4 linked regions of the Sus scrofa genome follow. The protein of the gene in region 1 interacts with the protein of each later gene in a pairwise test. Links are inferred from orthologs where the notes say so. Each region holds a gene or a part of one and is shown on either strand. Other genes may lie near its edges.

The links.
Region 2: the proteins of WASHC3 (region 1) and SYCE1 interact in binary tests that used the Homo sapiens proteins (3 or more experiments, as listed by UniProt). The two-hybrid records come from large-scale screens. The link is inferred for Sus scrofa from reciprocal best matches to the Homo sapiens genes WASHC3 and SYCE1.
Region 3: the proteins of WASHC3 (region 1) and TXLNA interact in binary tests that used the Homo sapiens proteins (3 or more experiments, as listed by UniProt). The two-hybrid records come from large-scale screens. The link is inferred for Sus scrofa from reciprocal best matches to the Homo sapiens genes WASHC3 and TXLNA.
Region 4: the proteins of WASHC3 (region 1) and PBXIP1 interact in binary tests that used the Homo sapiens proteins (3 or more experiments, as listed by UniProt). The two-hybrid records come from large-scale screens. The link is inferred for Sus scrofa from reciprocal best matches to the Homo sapiens genes WASHC3 and PBXIP1.

The regions. Positions count from the first base shown.
Region 1 is NC_010447.5:82,153,936-82,158,076, reverse strand, and holds the start of WASHC3 (WASH complex subunit 3), read right to left. Parts: upstream 2,805-4,141; 5' UTR 2,699-2,804; coding exon 2,648-2,698; intron 2,337-2,647; exon of another isoform or gene 2,225-2,336; intron 2,084-2,224; coding exon 1,985-2,083; intron 1-1,984. UniProt on the Homo sapiens protein: Acts as a component of the WASH core complex that functions as a nucleation-promoting factor (NPF) at the surface of endosomes, where it recruits and activates the Arp2/3 complex to induce actin polymerization, playing a key role in the fission of tubules that serve as transport intermediates during endosome sorting.
Region 2 is NC_010456.5:141,735,023-141,739,244, forward strand, and holds the start of SYCE1 (synaptonemal complex central element protein 1), read right to left. Parts: upstream 2,809-4,222; 5' UTR 804-2,808; coding exon 734-803; intron 300-733; exon of another isoform or gene 120-299; intron 1-119. UniProt on the Homo sapiens protein: Major component of the transverse central element of synaptonemal complexes (SCS), formed between homologous chromosomes during meiotic prophase. Requires SYCP1 in order to be incorporated into the central element.
Region 3 is NC_010448.4:88,658,611-88,662,858, forward strand, and holds the start of TXLNA (alpha-taxilin), read left to right. Parts: upstream 1-1,440; 5' UTR 1,441-1,595; intron 1,596-1,826; exon of another isoform or gene 1,827-1,893; intron 1,894-2,131; 5' UTR 2,132-2,163; coding exon 2,164-2,341; intron 2,342-3,168; coding exon 3,169-3,498; intron 3,499-4,248. UniProt on the Homo sapiens protein: May be involved in intracellular vesicle traffic and potentially in calcium-dependent exocytosis in neuroendocrine cells.
Region 4 is NC_010446.5:94,835,871-94,840,172, forward strand, and holds the start of PBXIP1 (pre-B-cell leukemia transcription factor-interacting protein 1), read left to right. Parts: upstream 1-1,494; 5' UTR 1,495-1,623; exon of another isoform or gene 1,624-1,809; intron 1,810-3,957; 5' UTR 3,958-3,993; coding exon 3,994-4,044; intron 4,045-4,302. UniProt on the Homo sapiens protein: Regulator of pre-B-cell leukemia transcription factors (BPXs) function. Inhibits the binding of PBX1-HOX complex to DNA and blocks the transcriptional activity of E2A-PBX1.

The sequences.
Region 1 (4,141 bases):
GAAGGCAGAAGTGATTTTGATAACTAGACAAAAGAACAGCTGGAATCTTATACAGACGAAAACAGTTTTCCTGGCTCCATGCAATTTTTATTAATAACATATCTAACAAAAACTATATGCTGATTCCCTACCTTATGTTATATATAAGACATAACGAACTAAATATTGTTTAACTGACTCAGCTGTGATTATCACATTTTCCTCTTTTCTCTTTTTTTTTGGGGGGGTGGGTTTATTTGATTTTCAAAAATTAATAAGATTTTTACAATAGCTTCACAAGCACAAGTTAACAATAATTCAACTGACAAAAATTGGTATTTACTAGTTAACTTCTTGGAAACATTTTTATTGTGTCAATCAAAATGCAACTGGAATGGAGATACATCACATATTGTACAAAAAGTAGGAGAATGGCTAGGACTGGGAAGTCTCTAGGTATTCTCACGGTATTTCATGAAGCAGGCCTTGATTTTTTTTGTTTGTTTGTTTTTTTTTCAGGGATTAAACCCATGCCGCAGCAGCGCCACAAGCCAGACAGTGACAGTACCAGATCCTTAAATTGCTGTGCCCCAAGGGAACTCCAGACCTTGACTTCTTTTTTTTTTTTTTTTGTCTTTGTTGTTGTTGTTGTTGCGATTTCTTGGGCCGCTCCCGCAGCATATGGAGGTTCCCAGGCTAGGGGTTGAATCGGAACTGTAGCCACCGGCCTACGCCAGAGCCACAGCAACGCGGGATCTGAGCCGCGTCTGCAACCTACACCACAGCTCACGGCAACGCCGGATCGTTAACCCACTGAGCAAGGGCAGGGACCGAACCCGCAACCTCATGGTTCCCAGTAGGATTCGTTAACCACTGCGCCACAACGGGAACTCCCAGACCTTGACTTCTTAATGAAATCATTTTAATTTCTGTTTAAATCATCCCTAAAAGCGTATTTAGCTTTAAGTGGTCACTGAACTTTTGGAAAGTAGAATTTGCAAGCATAGAGAAATACCATGATACCAATGGGGGGGTTTTCTTTAACATTAAAGTGTATATGTGTATCCTGTTCCCAATGACAACAATCTTGACTCTTACACCTTTCAGGCAGCAACAATTCCTCTACAAGAACAGTTTCAATTCAAGGATTTGACTGGGGAGGATACTCAGTCAAAGGGTGAACAGTAACTTCAGCACTCAGGTGGTTCATGACAACAAAACGGGGCCCTAGGTTTTGACGCAATCCTCAAGAAGTAAAGAAAACTGAGCAAAAACACCATCTTTTGGTTTCAAAACATTTCCTTGTCCCCTTTCTTCCTTCTTAAACCTAATTTCAACCCATTCTCTTTTTTAGCTTTTTATAAGACAGTCGTCCCTAGATCTGGTACCTAATCTGTAACTGAGCTACTTTATCCTTACTTCATAAGTCATATGCACAAAGTATTTTATTTATTATTTTTTTTTTTTGGCCTCACCTCTGGCATAAAAAAGTTCCAGAGCCAGGGATCAAACATGAGCCACAGCAGTGACAAGGCCTGGTCCTTAACCCACTGCACCACCAGGGAACTCCGTATTTTTACTTTTATTTCCATGATGATATTTGATGCCAAAGTTACATTTCTAGGCTACCTCCTCAATCATCTTTTGGATCAAGCAATGTAAAATAATGTACACCTAAAACGTAAATCTTTGAGGTAGGAGAAACATAACCAATTTCAAAATAAAAAATGTCTTTAACTGTGAAATACAATTATTATCTTCAATTACAGTAAGCCTTAGTGAACTGCTTCACAAAAGTCTCAGAAGTTTAATTCAGCAGAGATGGGCTGCAGGAAGACGGTAATAGAACCAAAGAGGATTTAAGGTATATTAACATAATAATTGGGTGAGAAGAGGTCACGGTATATGAATACACAGACTGTAAATCTTGTTTTAGTCATTTGCTACCTTCAAAAGTGCGAGGTGATATCTGGGCTACACATTAGACCAACACCACTGGACCTACCTCCTCACAAACTGTAGAAAAGCGGTTGAGGAACTGTACAGTGTGCACCACAAATTGGTTTAGAAATGCCACCGTTCTTTTCTGTTGAATAGCTGGCACCTGTGTTGCGTAAAAATAAACATGATCCGTACAGGAGGAAGGTACACCGTGCAATCCCCTCGATATTAATAAAGGGGCGTTTCTCTGTGTGATATGAGTTACTGGAAGTTCTGCCAATAGTCATTAACTTGTTTTCCTAACCTGTGGGGGTGGGGTGTTCAAAGATGACAGATGCTGCAAAGTTTGAGAAAGGGCTCTGGATTCACAAGAGCGAACTTCCGCAGGTATAGGCAACACGTAAACACACGAAAACCTTAAGGGCCGAATAAAAGAGGTAGGGTTAGAAATCGGAACTGGCCCGTGTCGCCAGTGGTTCACCCTTGAGGACAGGGACTCGTGACCTGGGAAGCGAAGCCTGGGAGAGGTACACTACACTGCCCCCGCCCTTCCTTACCTCAGGAGGGACCTCTTTAAAGGGCAAACTATGGGACTCTCCCTCCGGAGAGAGATGAGACAGGCCTAGGACAGCGTTGGGCTTAGAGAGATGTGGTCTCCCTGGGAACCCGGCGTCCCTTCCCCATCCTCCTCCCAGGTCACCTGAGTTCAACTCCATCTTTTACAAACCTTAGTCAGGTCTATGCCTGACCCCATGAGAGGAAGCCCATCCTCATCCATCTCCTCAGCGGGCACGGGACACAGGGTTCACCCACACACCCCTCCCCGACCAGGCCAGCCCAACCCGGTAATAGCTTACGAACACCTCCCCCCAGTCCCCGCCTCCCGGGTTCTTCCCGCCGGAAGGAAACGCCTCCTCTCGCCAATCACTCGGCGGCTTCCGGAGAGCCCACCCCTTCGCAAGGCATTCTGGGATTGGTAGTTTTAGTTCCGGATTGTGACGTCGGACGAAGAGCGCCGAGTCTAGAAAGGGTGAAATTCTCTTCTCGCAAGATTTTAAAAATGGGGCGGGGAAAAGTAAAGCATCCCGACTGTTTGAGGTTATCCCTCTGCTTAGTGTTGTCTCTCGTATAAGGCAGCTGAGGCATTCGTTAATAAAATATATATATAGTTTGTTTTTGTTGTTATTTTTAACATACTAAGTGCCAGATTGGCCCCTGGGCCCTAATTTAATCAGGTTGAGTATATGTATCTATAGAACTATAAAAATATTAACTTATCTAAAATTGGCCAATTAACAGAAATTCTCCAAAGTGGTTTGGTTTCTTAAAAAAAGAAAAGACAAGTATAATTCTGTGAGATATAATTCTAGTTAACGGAAGAGTGGGACTTTCTCATTGCCTCCTAGGATTCTTGATGATACTCTTCATCACTCTTCCATAGCTCCTGAAGGCAGTGCCACTCACAACATAATAACTGAATTTCCAGGGCTGTTAAAAACAATCTATAGCTAGAAGTCTTGGTCATCTTCCTGAAATCCTCTGAAATACCCGTGTCCTTTCTCCAGGCTTTCTCTCATTGGAAATGGATTACCAGATTTCAATTACTGTAGTGCATTTTGGAGACAAAAGAAGTAAATTGTAACGAATACTGATTTAAAAAGGCAGAGTCCATGAATCCCACCTGCATATAACATATCTGTTAAATTAAAAGGTCTTAAAGCATTTTTCAGTAGTTATGTTTTCAGGAGTTCCCATCGTGGTGCAGTGGAAACGAATCTGGAACTAGGAACCATGGGGTTGTGGGTTCGATCCTCGCTCAGTGGCTTAAGGATCCAGTGTTGCTGTGAGCTGTGGTGTAGGTCACAGATGTGCTTTGGGTCTGGTGTTGCTGTGGCTGTGGGTGTAGGCTGGCAGCTGTAGCTCTGATTAGACCCCTAGCCTGGGAACCTCCATATGCCGCAAGTGTGGCCCTAAAAAGCAAAAACAAAAATAATAGTTATATTTTCAGAGCCTGTAACTAGAAAATCACTTATTTAATTTCTTCATGAATTGGTTCTTAGGTGAGGGAAATCATTAGCATTGAGTTCCTATTTTTCTTTTGTTTTCTTTTTTCCTCCTTTGTTTCAGAATGAACAGTTAGAGGGGTATAGTGTTGGTTCAGAATAGTGGGAAAATAAATGTAAGTGTCTCTTGTCCCTCTTCCCCCATCCCTCAGGAGTGA
Region 2 (4,222 bases), on another chromosome or scaffold:
TAACGGCAGGTCTGAAAGTGTCACCAAGACATGTTCATGATTGAATCTTAAGGAGGGAGGTGGGTGAGCCAAGGAGAGCAGAGAGTAAACAAGCTGAGGGATGGGTGTTCCTTGTACAGGTCCCTCCGGTTCTGTGAAACACCGGGGCGAAAACGTCTAAGGAACACTGTTCATCTCTCCTCTACCCCAGGCTGTCCCTGCAGAACTTTTTAACTGAAGGAGCTGCCGTGCTCCCCCACCCGCTTCCTGGTGAGGTGGGAGCCAACACGCGGCGGATCAGTGTCAAGACGAAAGAAAAGGTAATGCCGTGTGGAGCCGTCCGGACCCTCGTCCGGGGGAAAAACTCCCCCGAGGAGAACCACTACGGGGCAGCTGGGAAGGCAGATGTGTGCGGGCTGTGGGACGAGTGACGGGACCGACGCGGGCCCACGGGTGTGGGGGCCCCGGGACCAGATCGAAACCGTGTCCCCTGACTCCTCTGAGCTACTTGAGCAAACGGGGTGGACAGACCAGGCCAACGGGAAGTGCGCGAAGGTCAGGCGAGGCCTGCGGGTGAGTCCCCCGGAGCGCTCCGGGTAGCGCCGCCCAGACCCTTCCAGCGGGGCGACAGTCGTTTTTCCTCACGACCGACCCCGCCCTGAGGAAGAGGCGCCCGCACGCGCTCCCCGCCCGGCCCCTGGCAGCCTGGCTCCCTCCGGAGGCCGGGTCAGAGGCCGCCACCGGGCCCAGCTACCTCCTGCCTCGCCAGCGCGGCCCAGGGCTCCCGCGGACTCCTCGCTCGAAGGCCCCGGCCGCCCCGCCATCTCCTCTCAGGTCGCTGGCTCCCGGCGTCTGGCGCCGCGCCGGGGGCGGGGCGTCCTCTGTGCGCCTGCGCAATGCCCGTTTCCTCGAGCGGGGGCCGCGGGGAGACCGTGGGCTCGCGCCAGTGCGCATGCTTGAGCGTCTGGCCCTGACTCTGCGCAGAGCAGGCGAGGGTCGCGTGCGCTTGGGTTTGCGCTTGGTCGATGGAGGAGCCAGGGGCCTGCGGGCGTGTGGCGGTCTCCTGAGGGTGCGTCCCAGGGGACGCCGCCCGCGCTTCGGGGACAGTGCCAGTGCTTGGCGTGGGGGTCTCAGTTCATTCCTGTCTCTGCACCCGGAAGAGGAATTTCCGGTTTTCCCTCAGACGCGTCCTGGGTGCTTTACAGCAGGGCGGTGAGTTGGCCTCGTCGTGCGCAAATCCTGTTCCAAAACCTCCAGCGTCACGTTTTCCTCACCTGTTGCTCAGGATTCCAGGTGGCAGGAACAACCAGGTGTGAGGAGCAGTTTTGAGTGCTACCTGTGCAAAGCCCTGCCCTAGAGCTGACTTAAGCGTCCTCGATAGGGATAAGGTTACGAAAAGTCACAGAGTAAGCATTAGGATTAAGGCTCAAGGTGTGGGGAGAAATCTTCCGGATGTGTTTTCTAAACCCCAAGGAAACCATAAGGGGCTAGAGGGACCTGGCTCAGCAAGTTAGGCATTAACTGAGAGGACAAGGTGTTGACTTTGGAAAACCGGGTCAGCTCAAGTCAGAAAACTGCTTGAGAAAACACTGATTGTTCCTCAAGATGTTATGCCTAGATAGCTAACACCAGCCTCATTGATGCCCTTTAGAGTAAAGGTCGGAGTTCAAATTCAAGGTGACTGGAGGCCGAGGGCCTTGGGGTGTCTATTTTCTCACATTGTTTACCTTCCTGAGAGCATAATAAAGACGATGAGGCGTCGGCATTCAGGGCTCTTGACGCATGAGGTCTTGCGTCCCCTGGTCCCATCTTTAACTGTACCCTGTCTCTGTGTCTTTCTTTGTTTCCGATGAACATTTCTTAAGCTTTGCAGCACCCGTCCTTCACCTCCACTCACTGAGCTGGTCTCAGCATCAAAGTAAGAGTCTGAGTAGGAGACGAGGGTCAGGGAAAGGGTCAAGAGTCAATGTCAGACGAGAGTCACCTTTCATTTTTAGGGTCAGTATCAAGGTCAGGGAAAGGAGTAGGAATTAGTAGCTGAGCCCATGACCATTGCCACCCTTGACGGTTGTTCAAGTCATGGACTACCAATCCAAACTGGCAAAGTGGGCCATAATCTCCATGTTACTGGGGCTACTTCTTTGATGGTGAACTGACCTGTGCAAGATAAGGGTAGAGCAAAGGTTCAAGTGACCCTTAAAACCCTAACCCATCCTGTTGTACAGACTGCCTGGCCTTAGAGGTTAGAGTCAGGGATAAAGGGGCTGGGGTCAGAGTGTAAGTGAGCAACCATTAGTGAGCGACATTTAGTGGTCCTCTTCAGCCATTGGTCAGCATTGTAGTGAGCCTGTCCCCCCAGCAAGTGACAGTGGCTGACCATTGGCCCCTGCCCCTCCCCTTTCTCAGTATTAAAAGAGCCTGAATTAAGACTGAGGCAAGTCTCAAGACACTAGCCTGCCGTCTTCTCCATCTGCTAGCTTTCTAATTAAAGTAGCTATGCATCGCCCCAACAACTCTTCTTAGAATTCATTGGCCTGAGCAGTACAGTGAGCAGAGCAAACTTGGGTTCGGCAACAGGTTTTGGTGAGCCAGCCAGGAGCCTTGCTGTTTGTGACCAGCTGGCCCCAGTTGGGGAGTTTTCTGGTGAGTTCCTAGCAGCTGCCAGGACCACTTGTCCTGAGCATCTTCCTTTCAAAATTCCCTAAAGTGGCCCTGGCTGCCCCAGCTCTTGGCGGTTGGAGCAAGGAATCGACATTTGGGAGCCACTGGGCTCCATACAGTAGGGTAAGTCACTCCAGTGAAAGAAAAAAATGTAAGAAAGGTAGAACAAAGGAAGAAAGACCTATGAGCTAATGAATAATAGTTGGAAAGGTAAGAAAATAAGTCAATAATTACATATGTAAACAAATATATTCAAAAACACACACCTGCGTGAATATATGAAAAATTGAAGAAGGCTGTCAGCACATGATGGGTCGGGAGCTGAGTGTTTAAAAGCTGTGGCATCGGGTAGGGTGGCCTCAGGGCTCTGAAAGCCTTTGAGAGAGAAATAGCCCACTTGGTAGGGCCCTTCTTGATATTTCAAGAAAGCAGAGGAAGGCAATCCAACCAGTGTGTTGCCCAAGGCCAAAGCTGCCCCCGGGGGCTGCTCAGCCAGAGGGAGGACGAACACCTGAGAGTTGCTGTTAGTGCAGATGACCACAAGACGGTGCCAGGGTACTTTCCAGACCCAAGGGCAAGCTCCAAGGCTGCATGTCGGGGCTCAGCGTTGGGGTTGATGATGTGTTTGTGGGAAACCCCAGCCAGCACCCAGAGATCTGGGGTTGTTTTCCAGGTATCTGGGACTCTCTGCTCTAAGTTGCCTCACGTCAGGCAGAGCACACAGCTGTCCTTTTAGCATTTAATGTGTGTGCATTTGCTGCCTGGCCAGGTGGCAGTGTGTTTATAATGCTTGAGTGATCCACTGGGTTTCAGAGCGCCTTGTGTTCCTCCAGGCCAGGAGCCAGAACCCACACAGCCTCTGTTTTGAATCATGAACTGTCCATTTTCAAGCCCCTGACTGCCAAGGGTTTAGCTCTCTGGATAGAGGCTGGTGCTGATGAATGGATGGTGGACTTCGGTGGCATTGTGGTGGGTGGTTGTGCTAATCCCTGTGCTTTTTCTGCTCATGAGACCTAGTGAAATGTCTTTCTTGCCTTGCCACACGAGTCTCCCTTTACAGTGACCGCTCCAGGGAAGGAGGCCTGACCGAACCCAGGTCTGATGAATTAAGCAGGGTTGATTGATACCAAGAAAGCTCTCAGAGAGTTCCCTCGTGGCTGGCTTCCTTAAGAGTCTGTGGCTATGGTGAGAGTTGCATAGGGAGATCAAACCCTGACTGGGCAACTCCCTGATGTTGCAGGTGGCACCCAAGTAAATGAATCAAGAAAAGTAAATATTTTGAAGAAGGCGATAAATTGATGAAGTCAGTGCATACATATAGATATCCCTACATAGTAGCTAAGTGAATTGACAGAGAAAGGCATGAAAAAGGCTCTTCCGATATGATGCTTGTGGTGGCAGAGGGTTGTGTGTACGAGCCTGGGGTAGTAACAGCCCTGGGGTGGATTCAGTTCCTGGCCAGACAATATCTGCATGCCACAAGTGGGTCCAGAAAAATAAATCAGAGAATAAATCAATGAAGATGTAAGAAATTAATAAATTCATACGCCAGAGATAATCACTCCAGGTAATTATTATGTGA
Region 3 (4,248 bases), on another chromosome or scaffold:
TGCAACATCCTTTGTTTACTGATATGGCAGGTAACATTTTTTTCATCGACAATGGTATGGCACCTGCAAAAACCTGGGAAATCCTGGAAACAGTAAAAGTATAGCTGGAACAAAAAAGGCAGAGGGGGACGAAACATTGTAAATCAACTACGCTTTAATAATTTTTTTTAAAAGGCCAAGGGGATGAGGAGGATTGACAGGAAATAAAAGCAAAACCATTTAGGCATTAAATTTCAAGCACAGGAGTTCCTGTTGTGGCTCAGAGGTAAAGAATCCAACTAGCATCCATGAGGACACAGGTTCGATCCCTGGCCTCACTCAGTGGGTTAAGAATCTGGCATTGCCATGAGTTGCAGCGTAGGTCACAGATGTGGCTCGGGTCTGGCGTTGCTATGGCTGTGGTGCAGGCTGGCAGCCACTGCTCTGATTAGACCCCTAGCCTGGGAACTTCCATATGCCGCAGGTGCAGCCCTTAAAAAAAAAAAAAAAAAAAAAAAAAATCCAAGCACATAGGTTGCTGTGTTTTATTCTGTTGTCTACAGACAAATGGAAAAAGAATTGTGATTTCACATTTTGAGAAAAGCTTGGCTATTTTTCCCCTTTAGCACCAGTGCAACTGGGACTTGGTAGGAGTGGGCCAAAGAAAAGGCTCAGGAATCTGCTGAAACCAAACTTCCCCTTACAGGGCCTCAGCACCTTCCAAAGAGGGACTCAAGGTGGAAATGGGGATGGGAAATTAAGTATTTACTTTTCCAAGTTACCTTGACTCACCCTCAAGGAAAGCGCATCATGGTGATTATTTCTTCCTGAGTAAGAAGCAGGGTAGTCCAGTAGTTGAGATGGGTGCCAGACTTCCTGGCTTTGAAACTGCTCTAATCAGTCAATAGCTATGTGACCTTGGACAATCACCTAACAGGTGTAAATTGAGAGTAACAAATACTACAGTATTTATCTGGAGTAGTTACTGGGAAAGCTAGCATTCAAAGAACTACTGTTATTAAAATTTTCTATAGGAATACGGAAATCGAGGCTCTGGGAATGAAAAGAATGCCCGGTCACATAACAAATTAGTGATGAAATTAGGACTGGAAGGAATACAGATCTGATGTCCAGCACCGTATTTTATCCCTCGTCCTCAGAGTTCCTAGATAGTCACAGATATCCTCAGCAGGAGGGAAGGACGGGGTTGAGGTGTGCGGGGAAAAAGCAGCCAGGCGCAAGGCTCTGGGAGCTGAATCATAACTTCTGCGTGATGGAAAGGAGGTTGACGTGAGTACCAGTGCAGAATGACTGGCTGCTTTCGGACCTCCTGGGTCTGGGCTCCAAGAACGAAAGCCCTGTTGCAGCTTGGGAGTCGGGATCAGCCCGGTGCATGGAGGGACATGTAGTCCTTTCTGTCCCTCCACCCCCCCACTCCGCCTTCCCAACTCACCCGCCTCAGAGGCCGCCTTCGCTTCAACTTTCCCAGCAAGCCCCGCGAGAGCGCGGGCTATTGATTGGCCGCGGCGCGAGCAGGCGGCTCTGCCGGCAGCAGTTACCCAGGGTTTCCGGTGAGAGGCCAGAGCAGGAGAAGCCGTCGGGACGTCGGCGGTGGGGTGCGTATTGCGTCGGTTAGGGGTACAAGGCAAGCAGAGGGCCCGGGGCCCGACGCCTTCGGACGGTTCAGGGAATTACGCCGATTCCGCACGAGGACTCGGGCTGGAGTGCAGGGGCCGAGGCCTGTGCGCATGCGCGGGCGGAGCGCGCGGCTGGAGGGCGCGCGGGGCGTGGGTGGCTGCGCGCGCGCGCGGGGGGGTGGGCACACGTGGGGCCTGGGGGGCGGGGAGGAACCGGGAATCCAGCGTCCCGCCACGTCAGTCCCTGGGCCTGAGCCTGTCCGGCGCACGGGCTGTGGTGAGAGGGCTGGGTTGTGCCGGGGAAGTAGCTTCGGGGAAAAAGGAGGCCTCCTCTCCCCTGCTGTTGGGCACACCAGACTTCCCTGACCGACCAGAGATAGGGAGCCCCACTGGCTCCCATCCGAGGAAGGCCGGTCGGTTTAAGAAGCTTTGCGGGTCCGGTGTGGAGATATCAGATCCAGGCTGCGAAGAATTGTTTAAAGTCTGGAAAATAGCAAGTGTATTTGTTTCTATAGGTTCTGCTCATAACCTAACGTTGCAAACAACAATGAAGAACCAAGACAAAAAGAATGGGGCTGCCAAGCAATCTGGCCACACTTCCAACCCCAAAAACACCCCGGGGCAACCGGAAGCAGGACCAGAGGGAGGCCAGGGGCGGCCCAGCCAGTCTGCTCCCACGACAGAAGCTGAAGGTTCCACCAGCCAGGCTCCAGGGAAGGCTGAGGGTGTGTGCCAGCTCTGCTTTTCCAATGGGCAGGGGGAGGAGTTTATGGTGCGTCAGTCTAGCTTCTGGGGTTAGAAGCCAAGGCCACTGTTTATCCAGAAGGGAGGAAATGTAGAATGAGGGGAGGACACCACTGAGTCCTTGAGTGCCCACTCTGCGCTGGGGAGTTGATAGAGCCTCCCACCCTAAGCACAGGGACAGAACTCTCCTGAGAGAAGCTTCTGACAGGATTAAGTCAGGTTGGCAGTCAAATGAGGCACCCAACCAGCAAATCAAAAACACCACTTTCAGCAGTGGGTAACTGCTATTCCTATTTGAGGCATTTCTGGAACTTTTTTTTTTTTTTCTTTTTTTTCTGTTTCTTAGGGCCCCACCCTAGGCATATGGAGGTGCCCAGGCTCAAGTCGAATTGGAGCTACAGCTGCCAGCCTGCACCACAGTCACAGCAACACAGGATCCCTCACCTACTAAGTGAGGCCAAGGGTCGAACCTGAGTCTTCATGAATACTAGTCAGATTCGTTTCTGCTGCACCACAACGGGAACTCTTGGAACTTTTTTAATAGCAAGAAGTGACATTTGCAGGTGGACTAGACCTTGAGTTCCTGCTACATGATGCCACCTCTGTGTTGGGTGGTCTCCTTACTTGATTTCTCTTATAACAAGCATGGTTGGGCAGAGGTGAGAAATAGTTTTATCAGTAATAAAACTGAGGTTTAAAGAAGTTAGGTAACATTTAACCCAAACTAGTAAGTTTGGGCCTGAAAAAATCCCAGCCAGTGGCATAATGGTCTTATTTCTGACTCTGCCCCTCATCCCTCCTGCTGCAGGAGCACAAGCCAAAACTGGGGCCCTCCGTGATGTCTCAGAGGAGTTGAGCCGCCAATTGGAAGACATCCTCAGTACATACTGTATAGACAACAATCAGGGGGGCCCAGGCGAAGATGGGGCACAGGGTGAGCCTGGTGAACCTGAAGATGCAGAGAAGTCCCGGACCTATGCCTCAAGGAATGGGGAGCCTGAGCCAGAGACCCCAGTAGTCAATGGTGAGAAGGAGCCCTCCAAGGGGGAGCCGGGCGCAGACGAGATCCGGGCAAGTGACGAGGTCGTAGACCGAGACCACCGAAGGCCCCAGGAAAAGAAGAAAGCCAAAGGTCTAGGTGAGCAGAGGGCAGCTGCTTATGAGGCTGGTGAGGGGAGGGAGTTTGAATCTGACATTCCTGGGTTAGCCTGCTGTGCCAGGATTTGGAGGAAACACTACTTCCAGAGCAGCTACTTACTTTTTGTTTTTGTTTTTTCTAATGTTTTTTTCATTCAGCGGGTTTATTACATTTATACCTGTACAACCATCATCACAACCTGATTTGAGAACATTTTCAACCTACATAGTTTAATGAGAGCAGGGGCTGCAGGACCATAGCATAGAGACGTGCAGGTTCACTGCACAAGGGCTTCTAGCCTGGGAGCAAGCGGGAACCGAAGTCTAACCTGCTCTCTTTGAGAAGATGGAAAGAAGGAGGCCTGAGTGGTCAGTCCTCTTCAGCCAGCACCACTTCTAACTTGCTGTGTGACCTTGGGCGAGACCTTTCTCCTCTCTGGTCCTTGGTTTTCACTTCTCTACACAATAAGAGAATTGGATTAGATGAGGTTGAAAACTCAAATAAAGCCAAGCTAGCCAGAGGCACCCATGAGGACCAAGAGAATGCCTGCTTTATTCAAAGGCTTGACTGCCACCTGGCCCCAGGTGAGACGATAGCATGGAAAACTACAGGCTAACTGTAGCTGGCATTTGTTTTTTGTTTTCTGTTTGGTTTTTTTTTTTTTTTTTTTTTTGTCTTTTGTCTTTTTGTTGTTGTTGTTGCTGCTATTTCTTGGGCCGCTCCCACGGCATATGGAGATTCCCAGGCTAG
Region 4 (4,302 bases), on another chromosome or scaffold:
AATCAGTCCAGAGCCTGGATGTTTTTTGCTTCTCTCTTCCCCTGCTATTCTTTGTATCTGCTCGGGCGAGGTCATCTAGTTGTTCCCATTCGTCTCAGCCAGGGTCCTGCGCTGGGCTTAGTTCTTATTTCATTTTTAAAGCACTGCCTGCCAGAGAAGGGCCTTGGTCCTGAGGAGGAGTCCCTCACAGCTGCTCCCTCCCTTACAGCCAGAGCTCACATTCCTCGGTGGGGTGGGGAAGGCAGGCTTGGGGCGTGGCCCCGACGGGAGCCGGGGGTCCCTTGCTGGCCCTTCCCCGTGTGAAGAGAAGACACGGATGCTGCAGAACTTGGCCAGTGCAGCATTCAGCCTTTGAGGCTGTGAAAAAGAAGGCAGCGGCCTCTGGGCTTCTCTTCTCCAGGGTTCTTCCCACCGGACAGCAGAGATGGCACCCCCCTCCCTCAACTTTGTGTTGTGTTTGTGGTTCTGTTCGCTCCTCTTCCATCTGTTGCTATTTTTGTGGTCTCTCCCATGGCAGCATTTTGTAAGGTGGCTCCTGAGGGGCGGCGGTGGTGGTGGGGTGTCAGCTCAATCCCTCTCTCCCCCTCACTCCACAACTTTTTGGAAGCAAGTGGGGGTGGCAGAGATGTGGGGAAAGTTTTGTACGGTTGGATTAATAAAATGACTTTGGAAAATCCAGACTGGAGCCCTTGCTGTTGATGTGTGGGTACAAGGCTGGAATGGGCCAGTCATCCCTGGGCAGGTTGGTTGGGGGTGAAGATAGGTATCCGTGTGTGTGTGGGGGGGTGTCTCTGGAAGTGGGAACAGCAGAAAGATTCAGCCCTCTGGGCTGGCCCTGGTACAAACAGCTAAGCCCAGGGAGGCCTGTGCTCCCTGCCTCTCCCCCCGTGTCCCTGCTGTGAGGAACAAGTTTCCTTTCTGAGCACATTCCTGGGCCAGGCCTGGAGCCAAGCCGGAGCTTTGGCTCCAAGTCTTCAGGGGAGACAACTGTCTTTAGTGCTTGGGGGTTTAGCGCCCACAACCCCACTCCCCAGTTATTTGGGTTAGGCAGCGAGCATAGCTCCAAGGGTGGGATCAGGGGCTGCCCCTGGGTCCGGAAGTTTTCATTTTTGGATACTTTTCAGGCCCCCCTCATCTTTTTTTTGTAAATAGCGGCATCCTTAAACAATCCGCACTGGGGCAGCATGAGAGTGGCCGAAGGGCTATTTCCAACCCGCAATTGGCCACTCCCCTCCCCCATCCTGCAGCTGTCTCTGTCTATCCTGGGACCAACCTGGCCCCTTGTCTTAGAGAAGCCACCCTTTGCCTTTCAGTTTTGGGTCTTGGCTCCAGAAATTCTTTAGACGCTGCTCCCAGGAGGGGAGGTGACAATATTCAGTTTGCTGGCACTCCAGCCGTCCCGCAGGGAGGGGAACCAGGTTGCGGGGCTCTGCAGTTCCCCCCCTCCTTTCCCCTCCCGTGGCTCTCCAGTCTAGCTGTTATTGGCCAAAAGTTTCCGCCCCCTCAGGGAAGTTGACTTTCTATTGGCCGGTTCTAGGTCACATGACCTGCCTTTCTTGGCGCTGTAAAGCTGGAGAGGCAGCAACAAGTTCAGGGGAAGACTGAAGCCAGGAGCAGGATCAGGTAAAGCCCCGGTGAGAAGGGCCCACAGGGATCCCTGTGCGAGGAAGGATAGAGGTGAGGGGGGCCAGAACTCCAGCGGTTGGGCTCCTCCGAGGATCTTCAGAGCTAGTTTGTCGCTTCTTGGCCGGCGGAAGGGGGATCATGGGCGGCCGTTTCCAAAACAGGAACTTGCTTTAGGTCTCCCAGGCAAGTTTTTGCAGCCCTGTGTCATTTGCTCTAGAGATTTGGGGGAGCAACTCTTATGGGGGGTTGAAATCAGCTAGACGAGACTTTCCAGCTTTTTACGGAGGGTGGGAGAGCTCCCCCTTTAGTTGTCTTTTGGAAGTAGCCCAAGTTCCTGACAATCCTTATAGGGTGTTTTTGTTGAATCCTACTTGAATGAAAAGAAAGAGGAGGGGGTGGAGGTGGGTTTTCTTCCTAGAGGTTGATGAGAAGAAAGAGATCTGAAAACACCGTGGGCCAGGGTGGAGATTAGACAGCTGGAGGAACTTCCTAATAGGGCAGTGAGATGCTGGCTTGGGAGAACAGGGAGATCTTTTGGAATCTTGGGTGAACCCAACCAAGGGAGAGAGACCAACAAGTATTTGGAACTCTGAGTGCAGGGGTTCCGGACTGTCTCCTGTTTAGGTCTCAGAAGTGTTTGTCTTGTTGACCCAAATACCTTGCTGGTTTCCATGGAGACAGTGGGTCTGACATCACTGTGGTTACCATGGTGCCTGGTTCTGGAGGACCGGAGCAGGCCGTATACAGCTAAGGATAAACAGGGACTTCAGCCCAAGCTGCTGCCACTTCCCTGCCACCACCTGTTAAAAGTCACACACAGCAACTGAGGATGGGGAGATGATGACAGAACTGTGGGGGAGGGGCTTGAGACCAGAAGGCTGCACAGTGATGGTTCTCTGGATGCCTGTGAAGCCTGCCAGGGGTGTCCTGTGGGATGTGGGGAAGTCATTGCGCCCTTCTCCTGTCTCCTTGTGGGGTGGGTGCATGCGTTTGGAAGGCATAGGTCTTGGGAGACACTGTGAGGTGTCCTTCATCTGTCCTGGGCTTGGATCTTGACGCACAAGGGCCACAGGAGGTTTGTAGGGCACTGAGTAGGACTCACTTGAGCTCAAACAGAAGAGGGCAGTGTGGCGGTTTCCTAGGGTAGAAGTGCCATGCTTGTTCCCCAGCCTCGCTCCTTTTCCCAAGGTTTCCTTTTAGAGTCCTTTACCACTTGCCACCCCTCTCACCCCTCAGCAAGCCGTCATTTAGCCCCTTCTAAAGGATCAGAATCTAAGACTCTAGGGGGTCAGCTCATCTCTCCCTCCACCATTGCCAGCCTGGATGGGGGACAGTCTTGGCCATGGATGAAGGAGTAGGTTACGATCTTCCTATCCTGCCTTGTGTCAGGCTTTGGAAGCTGGAGTAACTTCCCACTGCCACCTGGCCAAGTCAGAGCAGGTTCGCAGGGGGTAGGATCACAGCCCTGATTTTTGTCCAGGCTTTGCAGCCTGTAAAGTGCATTATACATGGTAGTTGCCATAAATCCCTCTTCCCAGTCACCTTCACGTTCTCTACGATGAAACTCTGGAGGTTACTAAGAAGGGAAATGGAGAGTGAGCGTGCCAAGGAGATCTACTAGTACGGGTTAATTCAGATGGAGTTAAGCTGTGCCAGTTTTTCTCAACCTTGGCTACACGTGAGAATCGTTTGGAAGGTTTTAAAAAAGCCCCGTGCCCAAGCCTAAGCCTGAGTCTTGAACCTGACTGTATCAGAATCTTGAGTGATTCCATGTGCAGCCAGTCTGAACTAGACCATATGGAGGACTTGCAGTGAGGGGGAGACTTGGGGCTGAAGGAGGCCATTGAGTCTTCTCTTCCAAGCCCTGGGGGAAGGGGTGGTGATTGTGGGGGAGCCTGAGGTGGTGAAGGGAGGGCTGGATTGTGCCTCACTCTTCTTATTAGCTGTTCATCTTTGGCAAGTCAAGTCAGCCAACTTTCTGGCCTTCGTTTTCCCTGACTATAACTTGAGGGAGTTGACCTGGATTTTTCCCAAAGCCTTTCTTTCCAGCCCTATGCTACTCTGTCCTTTCAAGGTCAGTCCCATCTCCCAGTTTCCCAAGGGCCCTTTTGGTCCCTGGGAGGGGCAAGCTTCACTGTGGCTGTTGGCAGGTTGTGATTTGCAAGGCAAATGCTGCCCAGAAGAAGAGTTGAGGTGTTGGGATCAGAAGGCCTGGAACCAGGCTGGTTCTGGAAGTTGGTACCCAGCCCTTCGTTACAGTTAGAACCCAGCTGAGGCTGCTGTCTGCATCCTGAAGGGAGCTGGGGTCTTTAAAGGAGCCTTTCTCTGCAGGTGGCGGCCTGAACAGCCTCGGGAACCTCTGCAACTATGGCCTCCAGCCCAGACTCGGACAATAGCTGGGTGCTTGCTGGCTCAGAGGTAAGAAAAGCAGGCCTGGGAACCTTAAAAACAGGGTTCCTGCAGGGCTGGACTGCTTTCTGGGGTCTGTCCTTTTCCTTGTCACATGCATCGCCTCCTGCTGGCTGTGAGAGGAATTCCAATGGCTGGGAGAAGTGGGGACCTGGACCATGCCTAGAAAGAAGGCATTTGCTGGCATAAGCTGGGAGAAGTAGGGGCAAAATTCTGGTGGGGAGACCAGCACAAGCAGAGGTTCTGAGGCAACAGTGGGAGAGCTGT